3 linked regions of the Ovis aries genome follow. The protein of the gene in region 2 purifies or fractionates together with the protein of the main gene of each other region. This does not show direct contact. Links are inferred from orthologs where the notes say so. Each region holds a gene or a part of one and is shown on either strand. Other genes may lie near its edges. The genes, in order: CNTN2, IKBKG and PIAS4.

The links.
Region 1: the proteins of IKBKG (region 2) and CNTN2 purify together in Homo sapiens (affinity purification with western blotting, with the first as the bait; 3 studies listed by BioGRID). This does not show direct contact. The link is inferred for Ovis aries from reciprocal best matches to the Homo sapiens genes IKBKG and CNTN2.
Region 3: the proteins of IKBKG (region 2) and PIAS4 purify together in Homo sapiens (affinity purification with western blotting; 5 studies listed by BioGRID, with this or other methods). This does not show direct contact. The link is inferred for Ovis aries from reciprocal best matches to the Homo sapiens genes IKBKG and PIAS4.

The regions. Positions count from the first base shown.
Region 1 is NC_056065.1:2,672,027-2,675,769, reverse strand, and holds the start of CNTN2 (contactin-2), read right to left. Parts: upstream 2,492-3,743; 5' UTR 2,337-2,491; intron 1-2,336. UniProt on the Homo sapiens protein: In conjunction with another transmembrane protein, CNTNAP2, contributes to the organization of axonal domains at nodes of Ranvier by maintaining voltage-gated potassium channels at the juxtaparanodal region. May be involved in cell adhesion.
Region 2 is NC_056080.1:79,921,024-79,924,766, reverse strand, and holds the start of IKBKG (NF-kappa-B essential modulator), read left to right. Parts: upstream 1-1,612; 5' UTR 1,613-1,705; intron 1,706-2,021; exon of another isoform or gene 2,022-2,826; intron 2,827-3,743. UniProt on the Homo sapiens protein: Regulatory subunit of the IKK core complex which phosphorylates inhibitors of NF-kappa-B thus leading to the dissociation of the inhibitor/NF-kappa-B complex and ultimately the degradation of the inhibitor.
Region 3 is NC_056058.1:17,802,824-17,806,566, reverse strand, and holds the start of PIAS4 (E3 SUMO-protein ligase PIAS4), read left to right. Parts: upstream 1-1,420; 5' UTR 1,421-1,445; coding exon 1,446-1,472; intron 1,473-3,743.

The sequences.
Region 1 (3,743 bases), on a different chromosome or scaffold from region 2:
GGAGAGAAAAGGATGCCTGTCTGCCCATGGATTCCTGAGTCACTCCTGCCTGTATTTATTGCAGGATGACCTGAGGCTGGGAGAAATTTACAGGGTCATCCAGCCCAACTTCTACTCCAGGCAGAAGTGCCTCTCAGCTTGGCCCGGACCCCACGTCCCCGCCCCTCACACAGTCATGGGAAAGAAGGCTGCCCCAACTCTTCATGGCTCATCGTCCTGGTGAGGAAGTCGCTCCTGCAGTCTAGCTTCAGTCTCTCTTGCTTCATTGGCGTATCTGTTGCTCTAGTTCTTTTCCTGTGAATCAACCCTGTGGTTCTGACCTTAGGCTTCTGAGACAAGCTTTCTCACAAACATTTGGCCGAGGACATCTCTGAGGGTGGGGGCACTGTGCCTTCTCAAAGGGCGTGGCTTCCCCAATGGTCTTCAAGTCAAAGAAGACACTTTGCGGGCACCTCCTTCTTAGTACTGCTCCTGAGGAGCGAGTCTGGTCAGCCAGTCAGAGACCACCCTGCTGAGCGCACTGCCTCAGAGGCCCTTCCCACACGCGTCTATTTAAACTGCTCTGGCAGAGAAGGTGTTGGAACGGAGTTGCATAAGGGAGTGAAATCCGGGGCTGGGGGGGATGGTGTGGGGTGGGGGCGTGCATTTGACCGGCAGGGACCGTGCGGAGAGAGCTTGCCGGTGTAGACACTGGGTGGGGAGTAAGAGGGGAATAAGCAGGGCCCCTCTGCTCGGGCAGTGTGCTTCTGCGTCCCCCGCCACTCAGGGGGGCCCCAGAAGGAGAGGGGGCATCGGGGACTTTGCTGCCGTGGGCACAGCGGCCCCTCCATGTCTGTCTCACCTCAGCCCCCTCCTGATGGCTGGGAGCTCCTGGTAGATCTCATGAGGAAGGAGAGAGAACTCTGACCTCAGGTGAAAGCCATCCTCGAGGGGACCTGCAGCCTGGCTGGAGAGGGTTAGGTGGTGGGCCCCGGGTGGGGCATGGACCTCCCTGCTCCCAAGGCCAGGGTCGGGCACGTCTCTGCCCCACCTCCGGCCCACCCCCTCTGCCCTCGGTCCCATCGGGTGGGCTCTCTGGCCGGGAGGCTGGGAGAGGAGTCCCAGACGGCCGCCGGGAATGTGATCAGACCAGCGACACCCTGGCTAACGTGGAGTCTTCCTCCTCTCGCCTCCCTCCAGGCAGAAGGACAGGATGCCAGCTGGGCTGGGGAGGGAGGCTGGGGCTTTGGGGGTCAGGCCGGAAGGCAAGGGTGAGAGGAGTCTGACCCACTGCAGGCTGGATGTGAAGCAGGGGGAAGTTAGGAGCAGGAAACCTGGGGGCAAGCAAGCCCAGATTCTCCGGGGCAGGGGTCATGGGCACTCACAGCTCCCCAACCTCTAAACAGCCTGGACCGACAGCTTCTCCCCTAGGACTCAGGCTCAGCCCCCACCCGTCTGTGGCTTTGTCCCTGCGCGGCGCGAACACTCTCCTTCCACAGGCGCTGTCTCAGCTCACCCCCTTCCACTCCCCAGACGTGGGGACCCCTCCTGGAGGAGGAGATGGCTGCGCAACCCCCTCTGCCTCTGGCCCATAGGACTGCCTTCTCTTTCAAGACCCCCGACTTGGCAGCTCTCTCCCTTCCGGCCCATCCCCTCCCCTGCTGGGAAGTCAAACTTCTGCACCTCCTTCACCGCCACCGGCGAGGATGGGGTGGCCCGAGGAGACGAGGAGGGTGGGCAGGGCAGAAGGGATGTGACTTGACCCAGGTTCTCCTCCCTAAGTCCGGGCTCCTGGACAGGCCTTTGCCTAAACTTGCGCTCCAGTCTCCCCTCACCTCCTGCAGCCTCCCCCTCAGTCTAACAGAAGCAGGACTTTATAAAGAGGTCACCCTGCACAGGCAGGCCAGCGCGGCCTCACGTCCGGCCAGTCAGGTTTGCTCCCATCCAGGGACAGGGCAGGCCAGGGCACGGGGGCCTGGCCTCACTCACAGACAGTCAAGCCCTGGGCTAGGGGCACAGGGCAGGGCTGTGGCCTCTGCCCACTCTGGGGGCAGTCACTGCTGCCAGCCTGTGGCTTGAGCTCCTGGACACACTCTTGGGGTTCAGCTTGCCGGCCAGGCCTGGCCTGCCAGGGCCCTGCAGGGTGCCACCTACGTCGACAGGGCGGAGGGGGTCTCGGTCTCCGCGGCCCCTGGGGGGCTGGGGTGAGAAGTCAGACAGCCCCTGCCAGCCAGCTGGGGTTTCTGCTCTGGCCCTGTGCCCTGCTCCCCGCAAAGGAACTGAGCGCCCAGCCCCTGCCCACAGCGGTGCCCCGGGAAGCCCCTGGGCTGGAGGAGACAAAAGCGGCTGGCACCTACCTGGGATGCAAGGAGGGTGTTGGCCGGGGAAGGGGGACGCCGCTCACGCCGGGGAGCCGAGCCAGCCGGGCTGCCGGCCCGAGCCGCCCTCCTCCGCTCCGCTCCCTCAGCCCCAGCGCTCGCTGCCGACCTGGTGCAGCGGCGGGCGAGGGCGCGCGTGTGCGCGTGTGCGCCTGTGTGCGCCTGTGTGCCGCCGGTTCACTGCAGCATCTCTGCACCGAGATGCGCTCCTCCCTCTCGCCGGCGCCGCTCACTGGCTGGCGCGGGCTCAGCCTGGAGACGCGCCCCGGCCCCTCCCTTCCCCAGCCGCCCTGCTTCACCTCATTTGCTTCCCGTGTTTAAGGGCCGGGCGCGTCTTCCGTGGGGCTCGGGCGGCTCAGCCCCCGCGCCGCCTGGCCTCTGCCCCCGCCCTCCCTGCCCAGCGCCGAGCTGAAGGGCTGCAGAGGGTGCGCTGAGGAAGTACTAGAGAGCAGCTTAGTCCTCAAACCCGAGATCCATGGCAGCAAACTCCATGGAATCGACTCTTAGAGGAAGGGCTGCAAATTAGAAATGAGGTGCGGGCCGAGTGGGGTGGAGGGCTGCCTCCGATCGTCTTTATTGTTTCCCGTTTATGAGAGTAAGGTGGGCTCTTGGTCAAGATAACCGAACAGTAGAGGAAATTTTAACATAGATAGTGAATGTACCTTAACAGATTTAAATTACATGCCTCCGGGTTTATTATTTTCCTGTAAATAATTACATGGATTATTAGTATTATTTTATGCAGATGGATCACCTCATATATCATTGATTGACAAAATATTTTAAAATTATATAGTAGACCTTGAGCCGCTTTTCACACTTTCAACCAGCCCGCAGTGTGTTGTCATGAAAAGACCACTAGGTTGAGTCTGGGTCTCTGCAAGGCAGTCTGGGCCCTGCGACTAGCTCAACTGAGTGTTCTAGGCTGAGTGTGTCATCTTCCTGAGCCTCACTGATAACCTGAAGGGGCTAACGGTGGCCAGGGTCCCTGCCGGCTCTGAGACTCTAGGTGCTCACTGGTGAGCAGCGCGTCTCCCGCTCTCTGCTCCTGTCGTGTGGCAGGCGTGCCCCGGGAGGCTGGGGCCTGGAGGAGGAGGGACGAGCCGTCTGTGGCAGCCGCGGCCCGGCAGGCTGTCACTGTGTCCCCATCCCGGTCCACCTGCTGTCTAGCTCACACAGATGAGACCAGTGAGCGGTCCAGATGCTGAAGCAGCTGGTGGGGCCACGCCAACGTCAGAGCTTTCAGGGGGCATACCTGTCAAGCCTGGAGCGTGGCCATCAGAGCTTTCAGGGGACATAGCTGTCAAGCCTGGAGTGTGGCTCCATGTATCTTTGAGTGGAGAGGGACACAGAGGCTTGGGACGGGGCTGGGTCGACAGAGAAGGG
Region 2 (3,743 bases):
TTGTGATATGTGTTAAATGCCACTGGTTAGTACACTTGAACGTGGTTAAAAAGGTCAATCAAAAAGAAAAAAAAACCACTCTACAACAAAACAAGAAAAGAATTCAAGATTGGTAAAGGCTTGACCACATACTTCACAACAAGAAAAATCAATGGTTACTTAACACACAGGAAAGTGGTCAAGATGACCAGTTGTCACAAAAATACAAATTAGACCACAATGAGATCCAGCTTGACCTTCACCAGTAGGTTGTAATCTGAAAAAACTAACCCCATCTGGTGTTGGAGGTGGTGTGGAGGAAACACTTGCACCAGGGTTCACAGCAGCCATAATTCCCAACAGCCCTGAGCTGGGACACAGTGAAAGGCCATCAACAGGGGATGGACAAGCTGGATATCTACACAGTGGGACACCTACTCAGCAACACCAAGGGATGAGCCAGGGGGATTCCCTGGTGGTCCAGTAGTTAGGACTCCACCACAGGGGTTTGCGGGTTTGATCCCTGGTAGGGGAACTAAGATCCTGCAAGCCACGCAGGGGGCAAGAACAAAGATTACAAACCAAGAAAAAAGGGATGAGCCAGTGGCCTACTCAACACAAGCAATTCTCAGAACCAGAATGCTGGACACACAAGGCTCAACACCCTGAGTTCATTTAAGGGAAGCTTTAGAAAAGGCAAAGCAGCCACAGTGACAGAAGTGAGAGTCCACAGCAGGAGGTGGACTGGCTGGGGAGTTGGAAACGTTGCCTCTGGTTATAAAGGTCAGAACCGATTGGACAGAGAAGATGTCTTTCGATGTGTACGAATGTTGCCTACAAATAAAAAGACTGAAAAGAACAACTGAGCAGACGGCGGGCGGTGCTTGCTGTTGACCATGTGAAACTTTCCAAGATAATGGCAAGTGTGTGAAGACAGCAACTGTGAGCAACAACATTGTCATCCCACGAAGTCACCCAGTCCCTTCTCTCCAGGCCGGTTTAGCTGCCATAGCCACGGCTACCTGCTTGCTTTTGGTGACCTGACAAAGGAATTCTCCACTCTGGGTGGAAGAGGTGGTGAGCCTGGGCATGGCCTGGGTGAAGAGCAGGTGCCCTTTTATGCCCCCTGCCCTGTCATCAGTGAGGGCTGCTGGGCAGAGCTGCTAGACTCGCCCCGGGCAGGAAAATCACCTCCAGGGGTGAGGACCTGAGTCTTCAGGGCAAAATGACCCTTTAAGAGTCATGTCAGCACTGGACGCAGTCACATCTGTGGACTGTTGCAGAGAGGAGCCGCAGGACCAGAACCGATTGCAATCTGCACCCCTAGACGGGCCATGAGGACGGTAGTTGGGGAGCTACCAGGTGGGTGAGTCCTCCCCTGGCTGGGGGCGATGGGGGCCACTTTTGAGGCTAGCATGCTCAATCCCCATTTGTGGCTTCACCCTCTGTCTCCTGGGCTGAGCCAACATCTGCACGTGGACAAGTCTGCTCCGGCCCAGGTCTTGGCTAGTGCCCAGCCCACACGGGCCAGTGTCTCTCCGCCACCTCCGGGCTCTAGCGGAACCTGGAGTGCTCCAGTGGGTGGTTCCCAAACCAGGGTGCCCTGTGTTGCAGCCCCCGCCCCCTGTCTGCCAGCCACTTAGAACTGATTGCTGAAGGCTCTGGAGCAGGGCCCCCTCCTGCCGGCCACCTTCCCTGGGAAGCCTGGAGATAACAGCGCCTCAAGGTCAGTCACTGATCCCTGGCTGGGGTCTCCCTGGAGCCCAGCTGCAACCCCTGTGGCCCCTCTCCTCCCAGTGCCCAGCAGTGCCCGCTTTCCGCTGACCCCTCCTGTTGCGGGGCTCCAGCAGGAGAAGCCATCAGTCCCCTGTCGGCGGGCACCTCCTGGCCCAGAGGAATGTTTGCTTCCGGTCAAATTCCAGTGGGTTAGTGTCCTGTCTGCTGAGTCACGGTGCCCTACACCCGACTGCCCTCACCGGTCCATTTGGGATTAGCAAGGGGTGGAACCTGCTCGCCTTGTTCAGCTCAGCCCTGCCACCAGCGGCCTGAGTCACTCACCCAAGGGAGGAGTGAGGTAGGACCCAGACGGGGGTGGGGGCACAGAGGCCTAGGAGGCCCCCCTACCCAGCAGCCTGGGCCTGGTTGCACTGCTGGAGGTAACATGGGCTGAGAGCACAGTGCTCGTGGGGTCTGGAGGAGTCTGGGGCCACGTGGTGACTTAGCAGCAGGAGCAGGGCCTGCTGCAGATTTCCAGCCACCTGCATCTGGCCTGCCAGCACCCTGATCTTATCTCAAGTCTCCAGTTTGATGAGCCCTTGGTCTCGAAGGGTGTTAGGGTGGAGCACGTGACAGTAGAAGTTGGGAGGCCGGGCAGGGGTGGGCTCTATCCCCCTCGAGGCAAGATCTGCCTGGCCTCCCTCCTGGGCCGCGGGGCTCATGACTCATCAGCCCTTTGGGGGAGCGCCAGAGTCACCGTGACACAGCAGGAATCTTATCGCCCCAGGAGGTGAGGCGGCCCAGAAGCACCCCCTGAGGAGAGAGGGCCCGGGTCCTCCAGCTCAGCCCTGGCAGGACCCCGTCTCTGGGCTGGGCCCTGGAGCACTCATCGAGCCCATGGCCCAGATGGGGAAACTGAGGCCCAAAGGCAAAGACCGCCCTGCAGAACCTGCACTGAGCCACTTCTGCCCGAGGGGGCTCCTCGGCCTGATCTTTCTCTCATCTCAATCGCTCTGTTTCCATTGGGGGTTAGAGTGGCTCCAGCCTGGCAGGCCCAGGGTTCCTCTCTCAACACTGGTCTGGAAGGAGAAACGGGGTTCCTGGGTTCCAGAGGCCTCCAGACCAGGTCCTGTAAGTACGTCCACTGCCCTCCTACTGAGGGTGGGAGTCTGGAGGAGGGAGTAGGGAGCGGCTGCAGCTACAAGGCCATCAGGTAACTCCTCAGGCTGGCCTTCGGACGGGGCGGAACCTGGGCGCGTGGGTGCGGGGTTGGGCAAAGCCGGCAGGGAGGAGAGGGGCGGAAGACAGCTCATCCTTTTTGGAGTCGCAGGCTCCGCTCCGAGGCCCTGGCTCTGCGGACCTTGGCGCCTCCCAAGGCCTGGGGTGTGAAGGCCTGGCAGTGTTTGCTGTCACATGCACTCACCTTCAGGCCCAGCCCCCAGGCACGGCTCCCACAGTGGGGGGGTGGGGGGGCCTCAGGGCAGGTGCCTGCTGTGCTGTGAACTCCTTGGTCTCCCAGAGTAACAGGTTTGTGCCGCCTGCCTGCCTCCCACATATCCCAGCAGGAAGGGGAGAAACAAAACAACAGAAAAAACAGGCTCTACTTCAGAGGCCCTGGTACTCCCCCACCCCCCGCCCTGCTGGCTGCAGCTGGCACTTCCTCTTTCTGCCCTAGAAGCCTCTGCTGATTGCTCTTGGAACAGAGAAGAGCAAAGGGGAACTACTCGGGTTGCAAAGAAACAATGTTGCCCAATGCCAAGGCCACCACACGTGAAGGCAGGGAGGAGTCACCAAATCAGCTCAGCAGAACCCTGGGGCCCCTTGGTGCTCCAAAGACTTCCATTGCCAAGTGGAGACTGTGGGGTTGAGAGAGGAGGAGACACTTGGCCCAGGCCACAGAACACACTTGGATGCTCTCACTGAGGTGGTTTAATCGGAGTTGAGGATCTAGGGTCATAGGCAATTTACTAAGGCTGGGGACCCTCTGCTGGAATGTCTTGGGACAGGCTGGGATGGGGATGGGGGAAGGAGGAAAAATAATCCTGAGT
Region 3 (3,743 bases), on a different chromosome or scaffold from region 2:
AAAAAAAAAGAAAGTAACTGTAAGAAAAGTAAAACAAAACCCTGCTGAGTTACAGTTCTGGTGAGGCGAGGGAAGTCACTTATACAAAGTTGTATAACCTCTTATAGCATATTAAAAAGCAGAGACATTACTTTGCCAACAAAGGTCCGTCTAGTCAAGGCTATGGTTTTTCCTGTGGTCATGTATGGATGTCAGAGTTGGACTGTGAAGAAAGCTGAGCGCCGAAGAATTGATGCTTTTGAACTGTGGTGCTGGAGAAGACTCTTGAGAGTCCCTTGGAATGCAAGGCGATCCAACCAGTCTATTCTAAAGGAGATCAGTCCTGGGTGTTCTTTGGAAGGAGTGATGCTAAAGCTGAAACTCCAGTAGTTTGGCCACCTCATGCGAAGAGTTGACTCATTGGAAAAGACCCTGATGCTGGGAGGGATTGGGGGCAGGAGGAAAAGGGGACGACAGAGAGTTGGTGATGGACAGGGAGGCCTGGCGTGCTGCGATTCATAGGGTCGCAAAGAGTCAGACACGACTGAGGGCTGAACTGATACTCTCTTAAATTTTATTATTTTCTTCATCATGGCTATTTCTGCATTTTTATATAAAAATTAGTAACTTGATAACTGAGTCATTTGGCGCGCTTCATTTTCTCAAGGGATGGGCCCCGAAATACGTTTTTATCCTCTTGCTTTCTTTGACACAAGAAAGTTTGGGCTTAGCAGCTCACCGACACTGGGGAGCCACGGAGAGCTCTAAAGCTGGTAAATTTCCGATTAGCGCAAATTCCAAAGGTTTACCGTGGGTGGAGAGGCGGAAGTGGGCGGGAGGGTGGTCACCTGCACCGCGGGAATTGGGTAGGGGGTACAGCATTTCTCCGCCGGCGGCGCACCAAGGGGGTGTGGCGCCCTCGCCCTCTCAGCCACCCCAGGACCCGGATGTACAGCGCGTGGGGCTCCCGGCCCGCTGAGAATGAACCGCGCTGCGCTCCACGGCGCCTCACTGCACGCAGTGGCGGCCGCTGCGCGGGCCAACCATTTTCTCCCTCCTGGCAGCGAGGCGTCCGGTCACGCACCTGGAGGCTGCCTCGCGCAGGAGACCGCGACACCTGGCTGCATTGTTGTCGCCTCAACTGTCTACTCTCTCGTCAGACAGGACCCAGTATCCGCCCCAACCTGTGCCGGCCTTGTACCCCTTTAAGAAACCAGACACGGCCAGGGGTGGGCGTGGTCACAGTGAGTGAAACGGGGAGGGTGGGTGCGTAGTCGGGCAGCCCTGATTGGCCGGAGGCCCGGGCGGTGCCGCGCGCGCTTGCGCAGTGCGCGGTCGCGCGCGCCAGAGGGGAGGAGGGCGCGAGGGTGATAATTGGCCGCGGCGCGGGCCCCGCCCGCGAATGGAAGGCGATCACGTGACGCGACGGCTGGGGGCTCCCGGCGCGGGGGACGCTGGTGGCCAAGATGGCGGCGGAACTGGTGGAGGCCAAAGTGAGTGAGCGGCGGCGGCGCCGGCCAGGGCGGGCGGGGGACGGGGGTCGGGCGGCAGCCCGAGGTCTGTGCCTTCCGCTCGGGGCCCCACGGCGCGGCCCGCCTGCGGCTCGGCGTCCTGCCCCCTCGCCCGTCCCTGGCCTGGGGGCTCCGGTTGCGGGCGGGGCGCGGGAGGCCGGGGGCGGGGCCCCCAAAACCTCACCCCAGTCTCCGAGCAGGGGGTTCGGCCCCCCCAGGCGTGAGGTTGGGTCCTCCCCTCTCCAACCCTAGCGACTAGGGTCCAGATCGCGCTGAACGCAGGCACAGGGCCGCGCCTCCAGCTTGAGGCACATTCCCCCCGGACAGCGTGACGGGTTGGGCTGCTCGTCCCTTCCTCGAGGTCGGCGCTCTTTGGCTTGGGGGAGTGTCCGCCTCTCACCGCTTCCCATGGTATAGTGGGCTGGCATCTGGGTCTCAAGTCTCCTCGCCCAGCTGATCAGGCTGCGCTTGGCGGCTCTCTGCTCGGAAGGGTCCTCTGAGTTTTCTGCCACGGGTGATGAGCTGGGGATCCTGAACCGCCCCCAAACACAGGGTGTCTCTTGAGGGTCTGTACCCCAGGCTGGGGTTTAGAGCCCTTATTCAGCTCCCGCTCTGGTCCCAGAGCCCCGCCCCCTCCTGACACCCTTCTCACCCCGGAGTGAGCGCGGTGTTAACTGAGCTTGCCTTCCTGAGCTTGCCTTCCCGGTGTGATGGAGCCTTGGTCCTGGTGTCAGCTCCTTCCTAACTCTTTTCTCTCAGTCACAGGTCCTGGGTTTTGCGTTCCTTCTCACTCTTTCTCCTCCCGACAGCATTTGTGCAGCTGTGAACTCTGCTCCTGGGAGCCCTAGACTCCACACTCGGAGGATCAGACCCCGTTTCCAACCCCAGCTGCTTCCCTTATACTCAGGCCATCACGAGTCTACTGCTCAGACCACACTCCGCACACAGCCTCTCTTTAGATCTGTTTAGACAGCCCAGCTCTGGCGTCTGAGGCCCTGCTCTTTCTGCGGGTCTCTTACGTTGATCCTTGGAATGTCCCCAGTTGATTGCAAGGTTCTTTAAAATGGTTCCTAGTCTGTCTCCCCTGCATTGCTGTCTGGGGTCCACATTCTACATCCCAAGGATGTTACTCCTTCTAGCTTGAGGCCCCTTTTAACCGTCTTGGCACTAAGCTGGGTGCATCTCTCTCCCAGGGAAGTATCTACTGTCAGAGGCCCCTGTGAGGTGAGGCTCCAGAACCCTTGCCCCTGACTAGGCTAGGTTCTTGCCTGAGAAGTTTACTCAAGGCCGCTCATCTTTCGGAGGTGGGGAAGGGACCTAGCAAGACAGGCCCCGCCCCCTCCCCCGCTGATCTTTCCTCCCAGGGGTCCTGACCTGTAAATGTTTTCTCTCTCTCGCTCCTCCCTCTCCCTCCGTCTCCCTTTGCTTCCCACGGGGATCTGAAATACAGCCCTCATGGTTCTGTGATTATCCAGTATTACTCTCCCTTCACCCCTGAGTGCCCTCCACCTATACCTGCATCACACATGCGGCCACCGCTCTGTTTTGAGAAATTGAGAGTTGCCCTAGAGATGCAGGGGTCCGAACCCTGCCAGCCCAAGGTGGCATCCTATGGCCTGAAGTCCCCTGGAGCCCTGAAATTTAACTTCCTCAGGGCACTGTGGGCCTGTGGCTCTAGATGCAGGCCTGCCACTCCAGCCAGAGAGTAGGGTCTGAACTATTATACCATCTAGGGCCTTGAAATATGATCTGATGAACTCTACTTGACCCTTCCATGACTGGGGCCCCCTCCCCAATTAGATCAGATTGATCCTTTATCAAGTTCTCTAAACCATGAGCCTCTGTCCTAGGGGGTCTCAGAACTGCCACCCAGCCTTCTCTGATCCTCTGGAACCTTCCTGCTTCTTCAGCACCTTGCTGTCCCCATGGAGTGCTTTACATGTCATTGAAATAACCCCCTCTTTGAGACACTTTCTTAAACCTTTCATAGTGATAACCAGAGACTTATCTTTTGGGATGGATGCAAAATGGGCTGATCTGAGAGGAGAGCAAGGGGGACTTATTCATACACTTGGAAATCTGAGACTCTTCACCTGAGGCCCCTGAGAGGGGTTGCGGGGAAGGGTTGGACTGGGCACTCCCCTAGAGGGTGTGTAGCCATATGCGCTGAGTTCTGAGTTCCTGCAGTGAGGAGCCCCTGTTCAGTTGAGTGTGACTGTTGTATCCAGGCCGCTGTTTCTCCATGCGGCTCCT